2 linked regions of the Caenorhabditis elegans genome follow. The protein of the gene in region 1 purifies or fractionates together with the protein of each later gene. This does not show direct contact. Each region holds a gene or a part of one and is shown in the gene's direction. Other genes may lie near its edges. The genes, in order: vit-2 and sft-4.

Evidence for each region.
Region 2: the proteins of vit-2 (region 1) and sft-4 purify together in Caenorhabditis elegans (affinity purification with western blotting; one study listed by BioGRID). This does not show direct contact.

The regions. Positions count from the first base shown.
Region 1 is NC_003284.9:5,097,336-5,109,407, forward strand, and holds vit-2 (Vitellogenin-2), read left to right. Parts: upstream 1-3,696; 5' UTR 3,697-3,707; coding exon 3,708-4,580; intron 4,581-4,632; coding exon 4,633-4,917; intron 4,918-4,963; coding exon 4,964-8,143; intron 8,144-8,191; coding exon 8,192-8,438; intron 8,439-8,486; coding exon 8,487-8,743; 3' UTR 8,744-8,834; downstream 8,835-12,072. Other genes in the region: C42D8.9 (CUPID domain-containing protein), read right to left, coding at 8,925-8,996, 9,046-9,702. UniProt on the Caenorhabditis elegans protein: Precursor of the egg-yolk proteins that are sources of nutrients during embryonic development. Together with other vitellogenins, may play a role in modulating life-span, acting via induction of autophagy and lysosomal lipolysis.
Region 2 is NC_003284.9:5,776,433-5,785,204, reverse strand, and holds sft-4 (Surfeit locus protein 4 homolog), read left to right. Parts: upstream 1-4,482; 5' UTR 4,483-4,492; coding exon 4,493-4,561; intron 4,562-4,619; coding exon 4,620-4,927; intron 4,928-4,973; coding exon 4,974-5,285; intron 5,286-5,751; coding exon 5,752-5,896; 3' UTR 5,897-6,330; downstream 6,331-8,772. Other genes in the region: gakh-1 (Protein kinase domain-containing protein), read right to left, coding at 1-8, 58-423, 485-713, 760-854, 897-1,052, 1,383-1,610, 1,659-1,800; sym-3 (C2 NT-type domain-containing protein), read right to left, coding at 6,584-6,770, 6,976-7,114, 7,612-7,742, 7,789-7,985, 8,132-8,245, 8,693-8,772. UniProt on the Caenorhabditis elegans protein: Endoplasmic reticulum cargo receptor that mediates the export of the yolk proteins from intestinal cells by recruiting cargos into COPII vesicles to facilitate their secretion.

The DNA.
Region 1 (12,072 bases):
CTATTACAGTATAACAAAGATCAAACTTTTGATAATTATTGTAACTGTAAAAGATAAAATCACGATAACGTAACGTAACTTTTCGAAGAAAATTGTAACAAAAATGCCATAGTTTATGATAAAACATTACCTAATAAAATAACCTACAGAAACTTAAAATAGTATCTGAAGATTTCTTAGACATAAACAAGGGAAAACGACAAACCGAACGAAAACCGGGCAGCGCTTCTCCTTTTCCATAGGGTGTGGGAGAGAAAAAGAAAGGGCGGGCGTGGACAGTCACTGGATTTCTCTTTCTCTAATAACTTTAGCAAAAGCTGGACTTGCACTTGGCCACTCGACGTGGCGTATTTTATACTAGAGAGGTTTTCTGCGACGACGTTTTGGAACACTTTTGGCAACATTATTGCACACTTGATGTACAAGCAACAACTTTAAAGAAATAATTAGGCAATTTTTTTTTGTCTGGTGTGATAGACTGCTTTTTCAAATGGAGATGTTTCATTAGCTTCCAATTTTATGCTGAAATTATGATCTAAACCATATGTATTTCCTCTATCAGTATTGTTTCATTTGCTTTATTTTGACAGCTTATGTTTCAGTTGTCGTTTTTTCGTATACAACAATAGATAATTGGCAAAATATGTATCATTTCTAATTATATTGATTAGTTTATTATTTTTTGATATTTAAAAAAATGAACACAGATATAGCGTTTTAAAATGTAGTAGTGAGGTGTGGTACAATTATATGATTTACTTCCAAATTCAGGTGCATCTTAGGTAATATTCAAACAATGTTAAATTGTACAGAATTTTAAAGATTGAACAAATTTCGAACATGTTAGTAAGGCTATGAGTGTAGGATATGTATAGGAAAGATTTTCAGAAAAATTTTAATGCGAGATTTATTTATAAGAGATATCGAAAACACAACTGATTGCCAATCACTCTTTACCGAAAAACGTGTTCTCCGAAACAATCTTGTTCTTTTTGTATGATTCATGAAAAAGGACAGGAAAGTGAGAAAAGTGGACAGGTACCAAACGGAACATACTGGACCTGACGGTAGACACATAAACTGACTATTTCGCGGAGAAAGTATCATTAACACGCCATCGAACTCATCCTGTTATAGTTCCTTTAGGAAAAAAAGATTGCAATGGAGATAGTCGACGAGCCAAATGAGGCGGGTGAGAAGTTGCTAGGAGACTTGGAGACTTGGCGACTTTCGGAATGGAGTCATTCCTGTCACCCCCGTTGTATAAGTGAAGGTCACTCGGAACGGCTATCGCTTTGCAACCGATTAACTCAATTAGACATCCGATCCGACTTTTGGGTAAATAACAAGAATGCCGCGGCCCGTGAAAAGGACAAATGATCTATTAGGAGTGTGAGTGTTCGGAAGAATGTATGAGTCCGAATGTGTTAATGAATGATTGCATATAGTCAGCTTGCTGACATTTATCCGCAGGGAAGAAGAAAAAAGAAAACTCGTAATAATGAAATAAAATTCACAAAGTCTCGAGATTCGGGCAAGATGTTCGTCTCCCACACCGAGATCGGATCAGGGGACGATATGCACAATTGGTTTTGCTTCCACAATTCTATTCACCGCTTCACATCCAATAGAAATTCCTGAATACCGGTGTCAACGAATCCTATCTATTTCTTACATGTTTCGGATTGACGATGAAAAAAAAATGGGGGAAAGATCAGATCAGAAGGCAACGCGTTATTGGGGTCATAGTGACGATGGAAATTTGTAAGGGATTACGAAACTGACGGAGTGGGGGATATGAAGGAAAATGAGAAGTGGGTGAATCGGCGAAAGTAATCGTCTAGGAGTGTTTCCTTTCTAATCCCAACGATCGAAGATAAGGATTGCTTAGAAAGTTTATGAATTAAAATTTTTGTAACAAAAAACAATGAAACTTAAAGACGACGCAAAACATATACACCTCAAAATGTTTTTTTCCAAACTTTCGTTTTTTATTCCAAAACATTATTCAACTTATTTTATAGGGACTATCCTACCTAACAGCCCGATAAGCCTACAAATGAGTCTAAAACGCCTGAAATTGGCCTAGAAAGCTTAAGTGAGCCGAAACATATATACAAAATTGTTTTACAAACATAAACTACAGATATTTTACAAATACCGTTGAAACACATTAATTATTATCACAACTGTTTCTTTTGATAAATTATATTACTTATTCTATGAGTATTGTGAAAAGCTGAGACGTCGAAGCAAATCTGAGAGGACTATGAAAAAGTTATTTGGTTTCAAAATTTCTGTTAGATTTCAAAAAGTAATTGATAGGAAAAGGCTCAAAAAATTCAAACAGGAACAACAAAAACGTATTAACTAATGGTTCCGTTTTTGGAATTAAACCATTTGAACCAAAAATATCATAAACTGTATAGTTCAAACATTTGAAATAAATATGAAAGTTGTATATATCGGAGATACACTTCTCCTTGGAAATGGAGACACAGGCAATCGGTGCGGGTTGAATGTCCGGATCGGTTGTGACATCAACAAGTGTGGAGTGATAACCGAAAGGGAAGGAAGAAAGAATAGGGAGTGTTTTTCGGGAAAGGACCCCCCTCCTCCTCCTTCTTACTAGGAGTCTCTGTCCTACATCCGAATTCCGTCGCGTCGTACACCGCCGAGACTGCTATATTCCTCCACGGACATTTCTGGGTCATTTGACTATCCAATCTTTTCTCCTGTGTTGCGGATTCGCCAAGTGCGCAGCGACCACCCCAGCGGCGTTGTCGATTTCAACAACTAGCGTGATATTGGTTTTCGTGGCATAAAGTACTTGATCAAAAATAGTCGACTTTCTGAACGGGAAGTAAAAAAAAAATACAAACAAAACAGATTTCTTATAAGTTACAAATAAATAATGGTGAATTCAAGTTAATTTAGAAACAATTAACACACAATCACAGTACCGGACGTTTGTGAGACCTTATAGTCCAGATTTGGGAATTACTGACAACCGAATAATACGCAGAACACTGGAAAATGAAAAAGTTTTAGGGATGCCGCGGATTTCCAACTAATCAGATTTTTGCTAGACGTACAATTAATGTTAAGTTAGAATAATGTCAAAACATCTGGTGAAGTTTGTGAATAATTGGGTTTTTAATGTTTAGTTGTTTTAAGTTTTAACATTTGTTAGTTCTATCATATTTTTTTGGATTCAGTTTTAGTTTTTGTGATCCTGTGTGCCCAATTGAGGAAAACTGGTTGCGTTTTAGGTGCCTACAATACAATTTTACCAAGTTTTTTTTGCAGATTTTTCTATCCTGTCGGTCACAATGCAACTAGCAAGTAAAAAAGTAATGACTTTGTTTTAAATACCATGTGCTAGCTGAGTTTCATCATGTCCAGAATCACCTCATCGTTAAAAAGTCATGAGTATCAAAGTGCAGTGTGATCAAACTGTATTACTTGAAACAATTTAGTTATATGTTTAGAACCCCTCATTCAAAATTAATAGACAGGGCTCTCACCGAATGTTGCAATTTGTTTCTGATAAGGGTCACAAAGCGGAGCGAATGCTTGAATGTGTCCATCAATGAGCTTATCAATGCGCTAAAACGCTATAACTTCCATATGAAGTCAATCGAACATATGTCAATCTTTAGCCGTATATAAAGGTGCACTGAAAACAGTCCAATCACGGTTCAGCCATGAGGTCGATCATCATCGCCTCTCTCGTGGCCTTGGCCCTCGCCTCCTCTCCAGCTTTCGAGCGCACCTTCGAGCCAAAAACTGACTATCACTACAAGTTCGATGGCCTCGTCCTTTCCGGACTCCCATCCGCTTCCTCTGAGCTTTCCCAATCCCGTATTTCTGCACGTGCCCGCATTCAAGCCGTCGATGACCGCTACATCCACCTTCAACTTGTCAACATCCGCATGGCCGCTTCCCACCTCCCAGAGTCCGAGCAGATGCCTTCCTTGAACTCCATGGAGCAGCGCGAGCTCTCCGAGGAGTACAAGCAAATGCTCGAACTCCCACTCCGTGCTCAACTCAGAAATGGACTTATCTCCGAGCTCCAATTTGACAAGGAAGACGCTGAATGGTCAAAGAACATGAAGAGAGCTGTTGTCAACATGATCTCTTTCAACCCAATTGCTCCAAGAAACGAGATTGAGAAGATCGAATCTTCTTATGACAAGGAGGAACAATCTGAGGAAAACACTTCTTTCTTCACCAACGAGAAGACCCTTGAAGGAGACTGCCAAGTCGCCTACACTGTCATCCGTGAGCAGAAGAAGACCATCATCACCAAGTCCATCAACTTCGATAAGTGCACCGAACGTTCCGAGATCGCTTACGGACTTCGTTACTCTTCCGAGTGCCCAGAATGCGAGAAGGACACCGAGCTCATCCGCCCACAAACTGTCTACACCTACGTTTTGGAGAACGAAGAGCTTAAGGAATCCGAGGTCCGCTCCCTTTACACTGTCAACGTCAACGGACAAGAAGTAATGAAGACTGAAACCCGCTCAAAGCTCGTTCTTGAGGAGAACCACTCCATCAAGAGCCACATCAAGAAGGTACGATAATCTATAATTTTTACAGTATGTTCTCAGAAAAATATTCTTTCAGGTCAATGGAGAGAAGGAAAGCATCATCTACTCTTCCCGTTGGGAGCAACTCGTTGAGGACTTCTTCAAGAATGGAGACAAGGCTGAGTTCGCCCCATTCGAGAAGTTCCCACTCGACAAGAAGATGCACTTGATCAAGACTATCACTGAGCAAATCCAAGAAGTCGAGAACAACATGCCAGAGACCTCCCACTTCCTTGCTCGTCTTGTCCGCATTTTCCGCACCACCTCCACCTCCCAACTTAAGGAGATCCACGAGACTCTTTACGTCAAGGCTGACAAGAAGGTAAAAAATTTCAGTTTCATTATATCCTATACCTTGCAATATTTAGATCCAATCATTGATGGAGCACGCTCTTGCTATTGCTGGAACCAAGAACACAATTCAACACATCCTTGTTCACATGGAAAACGAGGACATTCTCCCACTCGGTCAAATTCTTAAGACCATCCAAGAGACACCATTCCCATCCCAAAGCATCGCTGAGGCACTCATCAAGTTCGCCGAGTCTCGCGTTGCCAAGAACAACCTGGTTGTCCGTCAAGCTGCTTGGCTCGCCGCTGGATCAGTTGTCCGCGGAATTGTTGACTACAAGAACATCCGTCCACTCGTTCGTGAGGACAAGCGTGAGCTCAAGGAGAAGTTCCTCCGCGTATTCATGCAACAATACAAGGATGCTGAGACCACCTACGAGAAGATTTTGGCCCTCAAGACCATCGGAAACGCTGGACTCGACATCTCCGTCAACCAACTCAACGAGATCATTGTTGATAAGCGCCAACCACTCCCAGTCCGCAAGGAAGCCATTGATGCCCTCAGACTTCTTAAGGACACCATGCCACGCAAGATCCAAAAGGTACTCCTCCCAATCTACAAGAACAGACAATACGAGCCAGAGATCCGCATGCTTGCTTTGTGGAGAATGATGCATACCCGCCCAGAAGAGTCCCTCCTCGTCCAAGTTGTCTCCCAAATGGAGAAGGAGACCAACCAACAAGTTGCTGCTCTTACCCACCAGATGATCCGTCACTTTGCCATGTCCACCAACCCATGTTACCAACGTGTTGCTATCGTTTGCTCAAAGGTTCTTTCCTTCACTCGTTATCAACCACAAGAACAAATGATCGCTTCCTCCTACGCTCAACTTCCACTCTTCCTTCAAAACTCCTTCTCTGGAGCTCAATTTGACTTTGCCGCTATCTTCGAGAAGAACTCTTTCTTGCCAAAGGATCTTCACGCTTCTCTTGATGCCGTCTTCGGAGGAAACTGGAACAAGTACTTTGCCCAAATCGGATTCTCTCAGCAGCACATGGACAAATATGTTCAGATGGCTCTTGAGAAACTCGAAAGCCTCGAGAAGGAGTCGACCACTGTTGTTCGCGGACGCCGTATTCAAACTGGAATCAAGCTTCTTAAGGAACTTGCCCAGAAAATGAACATCCGTGCTCGCCCAGCTACCTACACCGAGAAGGATGCCTTCGCCATGGTCTACCTTCGTTACAAGGACATGGACTACGCCTTCCTTCCAATTGACAGACAACTTGTTGAGAATCTTATCGAGAAGTTCACCAGCAACGGAAAGGTTCAGTTCAGCGAAATCCGCCGTCTTCTCAACCAAGAGCTCGAGTTCGAGACGCACCATGCCGCTTACTTCTACGAAGCTATCCGCAAATTCCCAACAACTCTTGGGCTTCCACTCACCATCTCTGGAAAGATCCCAACCGTCATCTCGGCTGAAGGACAATTCTCTCTTGAACTCGAGGGAACGGAACTTCGTTTGACCGTTGAGGCTCGCCCATCTGTTGCTGCCACCCACGTCTACGAGATGAGAATGTTCACCCCACTCTTCGAGCAAGGAGTCAAGAGCGTTCAATCCGTCCGCGCCTACACCCCAATCAAGATTCAAGCCGTCGCTGGAATGAAGAGAAACTTCGAAATCGTCTACAAGGTTGTCGTTCCAGAGAACCAAAAATCGATCGTCTCCCTCACCACTCGCCCAGTTGTCTTCCTTCGTTTCCCAGGATTCTCGAAGTTCGAATACATTGAGGCTGAAGAGAGAACCGTCGTTGTTCCACAATGGCAACAAAAGACTCAGGAAATTGAGAAAGTCTTCAACTTCCTCGGACTTGAAGTCTCCACCCGCGGAAACATCCTCAACCAACACACTCTTGAAAACTGGCTTCTTGCCGAGCAAGACTTCGAGGTTTCCGTTGAGAACAAGAACCGTCCAGCCGAATTCACTGCCCGTCTCACCGTTGGACAACTCGAGAAGACCGAACTCTCCCAAATCAAGTACAACAAGATCTTCGAAAAGGAGTTCGAGCTCGAACAAGAGAACACCGAGAGCCGCCGTGAGTACTTCAACAAGATGGTCAAGAACATCCAGAAGGAGCAAGGATACAAATCCGTCATCTCCTTGAAACTTGAGGCCCCACGTGACTACACCATGAACACCGAGCTCACCACCGTCTGTGACAAGCAAGTCCGCATGTGCCAATGGGAAGTTGAAATCCGCCGCTCCCCAATCCTTGAGGAAACCAAGGAATGGACTCTCCGCTCCCAACTTCTTGTTGTCCGCCCAGAGATGCCATCATCCCTCCGTCAACTCCGCGATCAACCCCACCGTGAGGTTCAACTCTCTCTTACCTCTACCTGGGGATCCCAGAAGAAGAGCGAAGTCACCGTCAATGCTCAACTCCAACAATCCAAAGAACAGAAGAAATACGAGCGTAACATGGACCGTCAATTCAATGGAATGCCAGAGTACGAGCTTTTGATCAAGGCCGCCCGTCTTAACCAGATCAACGCTGTTGCTGAGTACAAGCTCACCCGTGAAACCGAACAAGTTCTTGCCCGTTATTTCGATCTTGTTAAGACCTACAACTACTGGACTGTCTCGAGCCGCCCAGAGAACAACGAGAATGATCGCGTCGTCGTCCAACTCACAGTTGAGCCAATGTCCCGCCAATACGTCAACATCACCATGCAATCCCCAATGGAGCGCATTGAGCTCAAAAACGTTCAAGTTCCACGTGTCTACCTTCCATCCATTGCTCAACGTTCCGTCAAGCACCAACTTACTGAGGCTTCCGGATCTGTCTGCAAGGTGCAAAAGAACCAAATCCGCACTTTCGATGATGTCCTTTACAACACTCCACTCACCACCTGCTACTCTCTTATCGCCAAGGATTGCTCCGAGGAGCCAACTTTCGCTGTTCTCTCCAAGAAGACTGAAAAGAATTCTGAAGAGATGATCATCAAGGTTATCCGTGGAGAACAAGAAATTGTTGCCCAACTCCAGAACGAGGAGATCCGCGTTAAGGTTGACGGAAAGAAGATCCAATCTGAGGATTATTCTGCTTACCAAATCGAGAGACTCGGAGAGTCCGCTATTGTTATTGAGCTTCCAGAAGGAGAGGTTCGCTTTGACGGATACACCATCAAGACCCAACTTCCATCCTACAGCCGCAAGAATCAACTTTGCGGACTTTGCGGAAACAATGATGATGAGGTGAGTTCAGTGTAGAAATTTATATTGAGTTATAACAAAAATTTTCAGTCCACCAACGAGTTCTACACTTCCGATAACACCGAAACCGAAGACATCGAAGAGTTTCACCGCTCATACCTTCTCAAGAACGAGGAGTGCGAAGCCGAGGAGGAGCGTCTTTCCGAGAAGAAGAACTACAGAAAGTACGAGAGAGACGAGGAGCAATCTGATGAGTATTCATCTGAGGAGACCTACGATTACGAGCAGGAAAACACCAAGAAGAGCCAGAAGAACCAGAGAAGCCAGAAGAAATCCGGTAAGATACAATTTCTTCAAATTTCATATCGATAATTTTTAATTTAAGATCTTGTCGAGAAGACACAAATCAAGGAGTTCTCCCACCGCATCTGCTTCTCCGTTGAGCCAGTAGCCGAGTGCCGCCGCGGATACGAGGTCGAGCAGCAACAACAGAGAAAGATCCGCTTCACCTGCTTGCAACGTCACAACAGAGATGCCAGCCGTCTCTTGAAGGAGTCTCGCCAACAGCCACTCCAACTTGACGACTACCCAGTCTCTTTCGTTGAGTCTGTCAAGGTCCCAACCGCCTGCGTCGCTTATTGATTAAGCTAGACCGGCACTTTTATGTAAATTGATCATTCACATCTGTTTGATTGTAGTCTTTTGACATTTTCTAAATAAAATTTTCACTTTGAACTATTGTTTTATTCTTTTTAAAAAAATTGCATTACTGAAAATTGGAAAAAAAATTGAAATGAAGGAAATATTTATACAAATAGCGTCGCTAGCAGTGCCGTTTGATAGATTTGTCCAATGCCATAGCGTGTTTCAGTTCGTCGTGTACAACGTGAAAGTCCTGAAAAAAGCTAGTCTATGCTTTGAAAGAACCGGAAATTATAACCAACAGTACTAAGAGAACCACCATCAGGATCCTCTTTCTCCGAAGGGTTTTGTTGAACAGGATTAAGAGCTGCAGCGACCAAAGCTCCAACGCCAGGAGATGCTCCCATCAACGCACCAATCGCTGTAGGGGCTGCCGCCAAAACACCAATCGTCGGAGATGAAACCACTGTGACACTACCCGGCGAGGACATCGATGCTCTTTGGACCGTCTGGCTTGTGCCATCTAGTGAGATATTTCCAGTTTCCGCAAAAACAGCCGTTGGGCGGGAAATCGTTAGCTGATCAAGGTCGGTCGTTTCATCAATACTGGTGTCATCGAACGAGTCTCGCCGTAATTGTTCAATTCTTGCTTCCAGCTCCGCTATCTTTGCAGCTTTCCGAGCAAGTAATGTTTTCTTCGCTGCAGCCGCCTCTTCTTCCATTCGCTTCAGTGTGGCTTTTGATGGTATGTATTTTGCCACGGATGCCATGGAAGTTCCATCTTCGCATTTTGCATTCATAAGCAAATCGTCCATTTCTTTCTCTTTCAAACGAAATGTATCGGGCGACATTGCGACTGCATCTGGATCCGGCGGAAGCTCTTGAATGGGAATCGCAAGCTCGAATATATTTTTGACTCGTACAGGCATTCTTATCGGAGAGGAATCGTCTTCGGACATTTTCTGGAACTGAGATTTTGTAGATTTTGGTAGACCTTTAGAAAAGGAAATATTAAAATTTAAAGAAAAAGGTTCAAAACCAACAAAAAAAGGAACGAAATGAAAAGAGCAATCTGATGTTCGAACGCAGATCGCTTATTTTAGGCGGAGCTCCAGAAGGCGGGGTCTTGTTGGTAAGAGACAAGGATGTCAGAAAAAAGATGACTGGAACAAAACAAAGAGGATTTTGAGATTTTATTCAGAAAAAATATGAACAATTGGCAACAGGAATTATTATTGAATTTTTGAAAACAATATAAAACAAAATCGTGACAATCACCACGTAAAATGAATATTCTTGAATTACTGAATTACATACCTTAAGCAAAAAATGCACAATTGTCATGGCAAAAAGCGAGTAGTGTCGAAATCTTTTCAACTAGAAAAATTGATTACAGAAACAGTCAGGCATGAGAGATTAATGAGAATCTGTGTACCTGCACGATAGTCCACAATGCTTGTGTCATAGAAACGTGTATGAGTTGAAGTTCTTTTGACAAAAGAAGGGATAAAAAATAATGCATGCAAGGATTAGAAAAAAATCTGTCCTGCCAATCTTCTTTTTTGGTGGAAAAAACTTCTTCGAGGAGCACTTTTTTGTGCACTAATATATTGACGAAAGAATTGAAAGGACACAACACTTGCAAAACATTTTTTTCAGATTGTGAGTACTTACATTGAATACAAGGAACCTAATTCGGGTCTCTTCTACATATTAATAAAATTGACTGGTTTCATTGGAATTGCCTAGGATTGCTTGTATAGCAATAAAGAAAAAGTGATTTTGTAATATTGCCATTTCGTGTCTGATTTAATGCATTGCAGGAATTGGCCTTGTCTTTTTAGAGTCTTAATGGGTTGGTGCAAAAATGAGCTCTAGAATTTCCTTGTTTTAATTTTTAGTTTTCGGAATACAAAAATCATCATGGAATTTGAAATGGAATCTCTTGAGCGTACACCATTGCTCTCACGGTGAGTTTTTTTTTCTAATTTGTATTTAATAATTAAATACATAAAAATTTTTACTTGAAGTGTTTTTAGTATTGTTTTTTTTTAATTTAGAATTGAAAATCTTAAAACATTTTTTTAAAGAAAAAGTTTTAGTGCTTCTGCAAAATAGCCTCTAATTGTTAAGATACTTATCAGGAAGGTTTTTTAAAATTGCTGAAAGTTTTTTTTTGAGAATGGGAATAGAATGACTTTGCCAAAGTTTCCACTTTTCAAAAAAGCTTAGATAGGCTTATACGCCGAGAAAAGTGGGATTCTTTCAGGGATTTTTTCTCAGATTGTATCTTAGATTTTGAAAGCTTTTATAACAATTGTACATCAATCTAGGCCCTGAAAAAGGTTTTTCGATCCGAAACGTACGTGGACACAGAGCCAGTTATGAAGCGTCAAACTATTCAAATTTCTCTCGTTTAAAAGTTTATGAAACATTTCTTTGGTTTTGAATTGTACAAATTTATTTACTTTAAAAATCCAAAAATTTAATATTTTGCATTATTTGTGAATCTCTCATTTTCATCTGGAAAAGACAAAGTTACCTGTAACTTCTGGATTTCTTATTTGAGATTTTATTTAAAGGTGAGGGACCAAAATATGAGACTTTACCTTTTCCACCCAAAATTGCCGAATTTCGTAATGAGTCGTTTGTTCAAAAGTTTGGCTAAGTTCTAAAATCTCAAACTTTACCATCTTGTCAGTATCGCAACAGTTGGGGCATTAAAATTGAATTTATTCTTCTTATAATGATAGAAATATGACAAAATTTTCTTTTCTAATTGCAATAAAAAATTTGAAAATGTTTTATCAGAGTTTTTCAAAAGTTGTCCCGTTTGTTCAGAAAATTTCAACAATCTGAACTTGAATTGAAAAAAAAAGAAATCTACGGCCACGAAATGTAAAATGTAAAATAATTTCAAATTATGACATATATTTTCAAATGAAAGTTTTTGAAAAAAGGATTGAAATGACTTTAAGATCGATTAACTACATTAGCCCAGCTGAAAATTTCCCTCTTTTGGGAGGAATTTTGGAAAGCTGATAGAACAGCTGTTTTACACTTTTTTCTCGATAAAAAACTCTCCTTTGTTGTCAATTTCAAGATATCAACAATAAATATGATTTTAGTCATATATATTTTACTATGCACAAATAATTCGCCCACTCAAATTATTTGATTGAAATTTTTACAACCAGAAACATAAACACACAACGCTAATCACTAGACAAACAACCTTTTTATTGAAAGGTGGCTACCAAATTATCGGCCATTAAGGAATCGATGAGCGATAATAGTACTGCACTAGGAATTATCATGATAAGAAACAG
Region 2 (8,772 bases), 680 kb from region 1:
TGCGTTTTCTGAAAATATACTGGCATTAGAGAAGTTTCAATCAATTCATTCACTCACTCTCTTGCTGTTGATTTGATCTATGTGTTTTTGGCACAAGCTTCGGAGATGTTGAAGGGTGCCCGGGGCGTGGTGTAGTATTTGTTGGCTCCATTCCCCATCCCATTTTATTCGTCTGCTGTACAACTGTATTTTTGAGTGATGTCAAATTGGAAAATAGTTTGTCCTGCATTGTAAAGAATCCTTTTGCAGCTTGCGATTCGATACTTTGCTCCGCTTGTACCGGTTGAACATTCATCAGATCGAGTATATCCGTGAAATCAGTTTTTGCAGCTAGTTTTGGTTGTTTCTGCATTGCTAGTTTCATGTATTCCTCAATTTTTGCAGCAGTAATTCGTTCATCCGGATTGGGTGTCAGACACTTTGCTGTAAGTTGGGTTTATATTTCTTTATTTATTATTTTTACGCCCAGCAGAAAACTCCTTACCAATTAAATCTGCAAACGCTGATAACTGGTTTTGCTGAACCGGTGGTGGCTTCTTGTACTTTCCGTTGATAATTGCCAGCGCTGATCCATCAAATGGATGCTCTCCAAACGCAACAAAATAGATCAAACACCCCATTGCCCAGTTGTCTTGTTGTTTTCCGATAGGCCAATTTGAGTAGACATCACAAACTTCTGGGGATCGGGTGATAGGTGTTGTGTATTTGAACATCTGAAAATTAGATTTCAATTTCATTTAAAATTTATTTCGGAATGACCTCTTCCTGAACCGCTAATCTTTCGGAATTTGATAGTGGTGCCATCTCGATGGACTTTGTTGTAGCACTTCCAAAATCGCATAGTTTTAGTTTTCCTGAAAAATAGTTTTAGCTAAAATCAGCAACGAAAGACCAACCATTTCCGTTTATAAGCAAATTTTCTGCTTTGATATCTCGGTGGATGGCGCCGACGGAATGCAAATATACTAGGGCTCTTGTTGTAAAGTAGATTATGCGAACGACAAAGTCAATTGAGACTTCTTTGTACTTGAGAAGCACATCCGCAATTGAAACTGAAATAAAATTTAGTTATATACATTAAATTGTATGTACATTAAAGGTGGAGTACCATAATCGGAGACTTTGCTTTTTTAGACCCAAAATGGCCCAAAACTATCCAGTTTTGTAATGAGACATTCTGAAAATTGAAAAAAAACTGACTGAAAAACATCTCAATCAACGAATCAACAAGTAATAAATTAGTAATAACAAATTACACAAAATTCGGTAGGTTTGGGCCATTTTGCGTCTTTTTTCAGACAAAATCGCCGATTTCTTTCGGTACTCCACTTTAACAATATACTTTTTGAGAGTGAGTTTGCAACAAAAAAAATTCAACCCACATTTGCAATATTCCATTGATATTTTGTACTCTTTCACGGACCGATTTGAACTTCTGCTTTCAGCTGACGCATCAAACAGTTGAATAATATTTTCGTGTTGGAGCTTCTTCATCATATCAATTTCATTATCAATATCCTTCGTCGCGGCTGCATCGTGGCTCAGCATGATCTTCACGGCGACTTGTTTTCCCTTGGTGTTGGTCGCAAGAAACACCGTTCCAAAACCGCCTGCAAAACATAAGCTCTCTTCGAAAATTGTCATTTATGGCCACTAACCTTTGGCTATTACCTTTTCCACTCGATAATTGTTTCCGTTAATGCTGAATGTCTGACCACGATCGTAGAGCTCACTCTGCTCACTGATTCCTGCGCCTCGACCGACAGATTGAATCACACCAAGAGCGCGGGCAAATGCCATCTTGGAAATTGCAGATTTATAGTAGAATGAGTGCATTAAAAATAATAAAATGTGATAGTTTTATGAGCGGTGCATCAATATGAAAAAGGAAAAAAATATATGAAAAAGTATAAGACCAGGGATAAAAATGTACAATTTACAATTTAATTCAAAGGTCTCAGGTGGTATCTATAACATAATTTTTTTCAAAATTAAGAATTGGACTTATGAAGAACATTCTTTTCTCAATTTACATATCTTGCTTCTCAAAAATTATTCTAAATTTGCAAATGATGTTTTTACACGTTTCAATCAATAAGAAATACGCTTAAGCCTTCCTATCTTTAAAGCTTCATCTGCATAGAATATAAAGTACACATTTCCATTAGCGCAAGACTAACGGCAAGAAATTCACATTATTTGTCAGGAATAGGATAGATTCCATCTCGCATCTACTGAAATGTACTCTCGTGGTCGAAAAATCCTGAGAGAAGCGGAGTATTTGGGCAGCAGCAGCGAAAGTGGGGTGTCGGTTGGCAACGGAGGATGTGTTGTTGGCAAAATTGAGCTAATTTGCTTGGAGCGAGTTTGAAGAAAGCCAATAATTTAAATGATCATTGATCAAAAATAATTGATGTTAAAAAAAAAGTAGAAACTAACACAATGTTCTTCAATTTTAAATAGAAAAGTTCATATCACATCTATTGCTTTTTTAATCGTTGCGAAAATTTTCAATGTTTTGTTGAACAAGACAATTAAAACTTTCTTTTATAAGAAAACGGGTTAAAGGTTTCATTTAATTTTTACAGCAAACTGAAAATTTTTTGCAATGACAAAAAACGATTTTTTTCAGTGCAAAACTTATTGTTTGTCAGTGCAGCATTTATTGCAAGACTGTGAATGTTAGTGTACTGATTTCTGTTTAAAAATAAATTCACGTTGTAATAAATTAGGAAAATCAATGAAAAAACGCAAATGTTGCATACAATGCGCCCTTTTTTGGTGTGGGGGAACGCACACGAAACGCGCCAAGTGGTGGCTGCTGACGCATTTGCTACCTCACAACATGTAACAACGTGGAACCAGTTGCAGCTCTCGTAAAAACAAACATCTTTTGTGATTTTTCGCTCAACCAGTTTTACCGAAAACTTTATGTAACATTACTTTTATCTTTTTTTGCGTTTTTTCTGTAGTCTTTCGATTATCTTCAACTTCTAATGTATTTTAAATCATAATTCATTCATAAAAATGGTTGAATTCAATGGCACCTACTTGGCAGGTGGTGATACTCGGGAGCGGTGATATACTCTCTTTCTCCTTCCTTTTCGAGAGTGTCATTTCTATTTTCAAACCACAACCACCACATCAGCTCGCGTGCGGCTGCGACGCGGTCTCTCTACATTTCGTGTGCCTCCTCTTCCTCCATTTGCCCCTTTCGGTTCAGTTCCCCTTCTTTTCTCGTCGCTTATGTTTTCGTTTTCATTTGTCCGGAGAAAACCTGTTTAGGAAAGAGTCGTTCACATAAACGCCCGTCACTTATGCCCGTTGACATCCAAACTCTTACTTTTGAACCGCTTTTTTCAACCAGTTTAAGGTTTTTTCCCTAGCTTAGTTTTTACACAACTGTAGCGGAAGTGATAAAGAATAATTTCCATTCTCTATTGTACATTACTCATTTACCCAATGACTTCGCTGTACTATTTCCGCAAGTTCAGTATCAATTCTGTGTATACGATGACGTGACGCGGTGTATTCATTGCCAGTGTATTCAGCGAAAGCTGACGTCTTTTTGTCAAACTTTAAAAACAAAATAGATAACCCAACGTTTGCTCAAAATACACTTAAAACCCAGCTTTAAAACGTGTATCATTAAAGATTTAAAAATTTTCAATTCCGTTCCAAATATCCACCATTCATCGGCGCGGCCATCTGTTGGCCAGTTTGATAAACAAAAAGTCGTGACCGCCTTGTGTGTTGACATTGTGCAGCTTTGACGGTTTTCCTCCTACCTGGAGAGATGTTATGTTTGGCGACGATTGTTCTCATTTTAATTTCCATTTTTCATATGTCATCCGATTTTTTGTGTGTGTACTTGTTGTTAAATACGTCATCCGCGGTGGCTCATTGGAAATTCAGAAAACCCAGAAAATGGGAAATTTACGTAGGCTGCTTGCGCCAACAAAGGCAATAAATGTCTTCTCTACTACTCTCGATATTTGATAGCATCTAGACTAGTTAGCTCTTCGTTCATTAAATTAATGCGCCACTGCCATAGTATTTACAACCTTTTTGATGAGAGGTTATCTCTTCTCATGTTATCTCATCTTGTCTGATTACATTTTCATTCAATCCGATCTGTCCCTCTATTATTCTCAATGAACACAAAAGATATATTAAATCGAAACAGTTGTGTGTAGTGTTTCGGAAAAGATACTATTGATCCGTTGACCTCTAATACTGGCGTCAATCGTAAGAGAGACGCAGACAGCAATACACATCTTTCGTAAAGTGCACATGCCACGTGTTCCATTTTGTAGTCATTCATTCAATCCACCATCTAATCCTTCGATTCTTCTCTTCCACTCATTCTCTTCCAGCATTTTTGTTCGTCGTCACCGCCCGTCTCGTTTTTTATCAACTTCTTATCATCTTTCCGATTTTTTTCTTAATTTACACTACACTTTTCCAAACCTATTTTTTCAGCTCTTGGAAAATGAACCAGTTCCGGGCTCCAGGTGGTCAGAACGAAATGCTGGCGAAAGCAGAAGACGCCGCTGAAGATGTACGTAATACCTCTAAACTATTATATGAACTATGAACTTTAAACTTGCGAATTTCAGTTCTTCCGCAAAACAAGGACCTACCTACCCCACATTGCTCGCCTCTGCCTCGTCTCCACATTCCTTGAAGATGGAATCCGTATGTACTTCCAATGGGATGATCAAAAACAGTTCATGCAAGAGTCTTGGTCTTGCGGTTGGTTCATCGCAACTTTGTTCGTCATCTACAACTTCTTCGGACAGTTCATCCCGGTTTTAATGATCATGCTCCGCAAGAAGGTGTTGGTCGCATGTGGAATTCTTGCCAGCATTGTCATTCTCCAAACCATCGCTTACCATATTCTCTGGGACTTGAAGTTCTTGGCCAGGTAATCATTTGTTTCCTTTGAACTCGCAATAAACGTAAAATTTCAGAAACATTGCCGTTGGTGGAGGACTTTTGCTCCTTCTTGCCGAGACACAGGAAGAGAAGGCTTCCCTGTTCGCCGGAGTTCCAACAATGGGAGACTCGAACAAGCCAAAATCGTACATGCTTCTTGCCGGACGTGTTCTTCTTATCTTCATGTTCATGTCTTTGATGCATTTTGAGATGTCCTTCATGCAAGTTTTGGAGATTGTTGTTGGATTTGCTCTCATCACTCTCGTCTCAATTGGTTACAAGACAAAGCTTTCCGCGATTGTTCTTGTCATCTGGCTCTTCGGACTTAACCTTTGGCTTAATGCTTGGTAAGTATTTGATGTGGAAACGAAACTATACAATCTGAAATTATCACAACATGATCGGGATAGCTCAGTCGGTACTGGTGGCCGCTAGCAATCATGAGGTCACTGGTTCAAGTGCTCCCTCTAGATTCTGGATTATCAGCCACAGTCCCGGGCTCAAGTGTGACTCGAACTAAAGCTCACTGGGTGTATAACTAGCCAGTGCAATTGACACCCAGATCCGCAGTGAAGAACAGATCACTCTTAATGATGTTATTCAAGTAGTGTCGGAAAATTAAAAAGTATAGAAAAATGACGTCACAACTGTATTGAAATACACAAAACTTGTATTTTAATACAGCTGTGACGTCAAAAATGTATTAAAATACATTTCGCAAAATTACTTGAATAACCACTTTAATCAAAACAAAAAAACCAATTATAACAATTTGACGCTTGATTAACCATAATTGAAACATTGATTTTTCAGGTGGACCATTCCTTCCGACCGCTTCTACAGAGACTTCATGAAGTACGATTTCTTCCAAACCATGTCCGTCATTGGAGGACTTCTCCTTGTCATTGCCTACGGACCAGGAGGAGTGTCAGTCGATGACTACAAGAAAAGATGGTAGATACCCCATTAACACCAGTACTTATACGCATTTCTATGTCAAATCATTGCATTACACTCACTCACCCCGATAAATTTACCTGGATTGTTTATATAATTTATGAATCTGTTTCGATTTTTTCGATATTTCCTTTAATCAATATATTTAGAGTAGAACGTTTTCCCTCGGTTTCCCATCCAATGCTTCTTGTCGTAATGTTACAACTTCATATCTATTTCCTTTTATTTTTTTTTGTCATTTTCTTCCTTTCCCTAAAACTTCATGGACTATATGGGTTGTTTTCCAATGAAACTCTCCCTACAAACTTCTATTTTTCTCACACGAATCACAACTAAAACAGTCATTTTTCCACCACTTTCCTTTACTTTCTAATCGGCCTATCCCAATTTTCTTCTGGTAGTTTTGTTCCCGTAAAGAATAAACATTTTTCTGTCAGACAATCATTTTATTTGTTAAAGTTTTCTAATCACCCGAACAGTGAAAATAATTTAGCTGCTTGAAAAAGAAGACCCATTGGTAATACAATCAAAATAGAATTAACATGAGACGAAGAAACCGTATATCAAAAACCAGAAAGTGCTTGTAAGATGAAAAAGGCAGTCATCAAAATGATGCACATAGTTTCAAAGTAAATAAGTAGTAGAAATAAGAAAATTTTCGAATTTAGAACAAAACGGGAAAATTTTTTCACGCATCATTGAAATGTTCAGCCACATAAGACGTCCGTTTCACGGGTTGACGTGGATTGACAAGTGGCTTTCCATGTTTATCCAAGAATTTCTCGAGCACCAAGCCTCCGCTGTTACTCTCCACTTCATCTTCCGATATTCGACATTCGGCAATGATTTTGTCAATCACGTTGTCTGCATCGAATCTGAAAATGATTGAAAAATTAGGAAAAGAAATGCTCAGAATCAATATTTGACCAATTTTCAATTATTTTTATGGGACTCAATTCAAACATGAAACAGTAGAGTAGAGGAATTTGGGTCATTTCACTAATCTTCTTAACATGAATCAAAAAGGTCAAACTCGCCATGACTCTTTTTTTTTAATGTTTCAAAAAAGTTTCACCTTACCTGGAGTGTTGAATTTTTTGAGCAGATCGATCTTGACTAAATCGTCGTAGTTGGCAGGTTGGATGTTGTGGTGGATGTATTACTCGTCGTTCGACAACTGGTTCGTCGACTTGCGAGTTGCTAGCGGCGGATGAACTTTCTGAATAATTTTGGTCAAATTTTCACAAAAAAAGGAATTTGAACAAAACAGTTGTATTGTTTTATCATTCAACACGTAAATAAATTATAATCTCACTGTTGTTGAATTTTAGGCTCAGAATGCGTCGGGGAAATTATTGAAACTGACATTATGGGTCTCATAATTTAATATTTATAACATAAAAACAAGTAAAAATGTATTAAGTTTGAGGAGATAATTTCAAACTTCCGCGGGAGTCAATTGTTAACGTTTTAAGCGTCAGTTGCCAATTTATTTGTTTTCTTTAATTTAATAGTATTTTCAGACATATATAATTTTAACAGACTGCAATGATATGAAAAGCTTTTTGCAACTGCTAACGGAATACTCATGTATTTTTAAGTGAAATAGAGAGTGTTTTCAGTTTTACGTGAACTCCTCACATCTACAGCTCCTGCATTAAGCAAAAATAGAAATAACCTTAGAGTACATCGATTCACGAATCTCGAAATAATTACCTAGAACATCTACATTGGAAAGCTTCGGATGAGACGATGTTCCTTCTTCGGAATCAGTTTCATCGTCTGCTCGAAAACCATCTTGATCAATAGCTCCATCTTGTCGTGGACCGAACGTTGACAGGCGAGGCCTAAAGTAATCATGTTCATTAAACGGAAAATTATATGTGAACATACACTCTGAAGAATGGGTCTGCACTTTGATGTGTCATTGCAACTTTGATGCACACTTTGGAGTTATCCAATCTTTGATTGCTAGTGTAGCCGTTTAAAAGATAGGTCCTCGAGATTCCTTCAACACCGGAAGCTGCATATTCGGAGAGGTTGATATCGACAAAACCGAGCTTGTAATACGATTTTCCTCCTTTTTGTTCCTGAAAATGGGATAAAAGTTGAAGATAAATGGGGAATAAGTTTAGAATGTTGTTTTTTTAAATGAAAATTTGTATTTTTAAATAAACATTATTTCATATTGTGAGTATATTTTAGTAACCCCAATTTATTTCCAAATTCTCCTTACTTTTCTTATAGAAACTCGGCACAGACACTTTTCCAGTGTTCCCGAAGTTTGATCACATGGAATCCGACAGCAGAATACAAATCGTGTGTTGAATGAGGCGCTATGGTTTTTCACCTGAATTAAATAAATTTTCACTATGGCTATTTAAAAAAAAAGAAGTAACCGATAAATCATTTTGATCTTATTACACTCAAATAGGACGTAAATAACACAACAAAACTTCACAGAACCTTTCTCGATTTTTTGTGGATGTTTAAAATCGAATTTTAGCTAAAACTCTAATTTTGACCATTTTTTTCGTGTCACAGCGACCGAAGATATGTTTTATTTCGTAATAGTATTCTTTACCGCTGGGACTCAGATGTTGACAAAAATAGAGATTTTAGCTAAAATTAGATAGTGTTGGAAATTTTGAATTGCGATAATGAAATTTTCGAGTAACGTTTGAGTAGTCTCGTTACAAATCCCGATTTTTCTACCATTTGAAATATAATAAAATACAAATCTTTATCGGATACTCCTGATTTAATGAATGAGTGAATTTTTAAATAAAAAACCTACTTCAACTCGTTCCGTAGCTTCTTCAAACGATCCTCCATCTAGTAACCGCATTTTTCCAAAAACAGTGGCATTCACTAGTG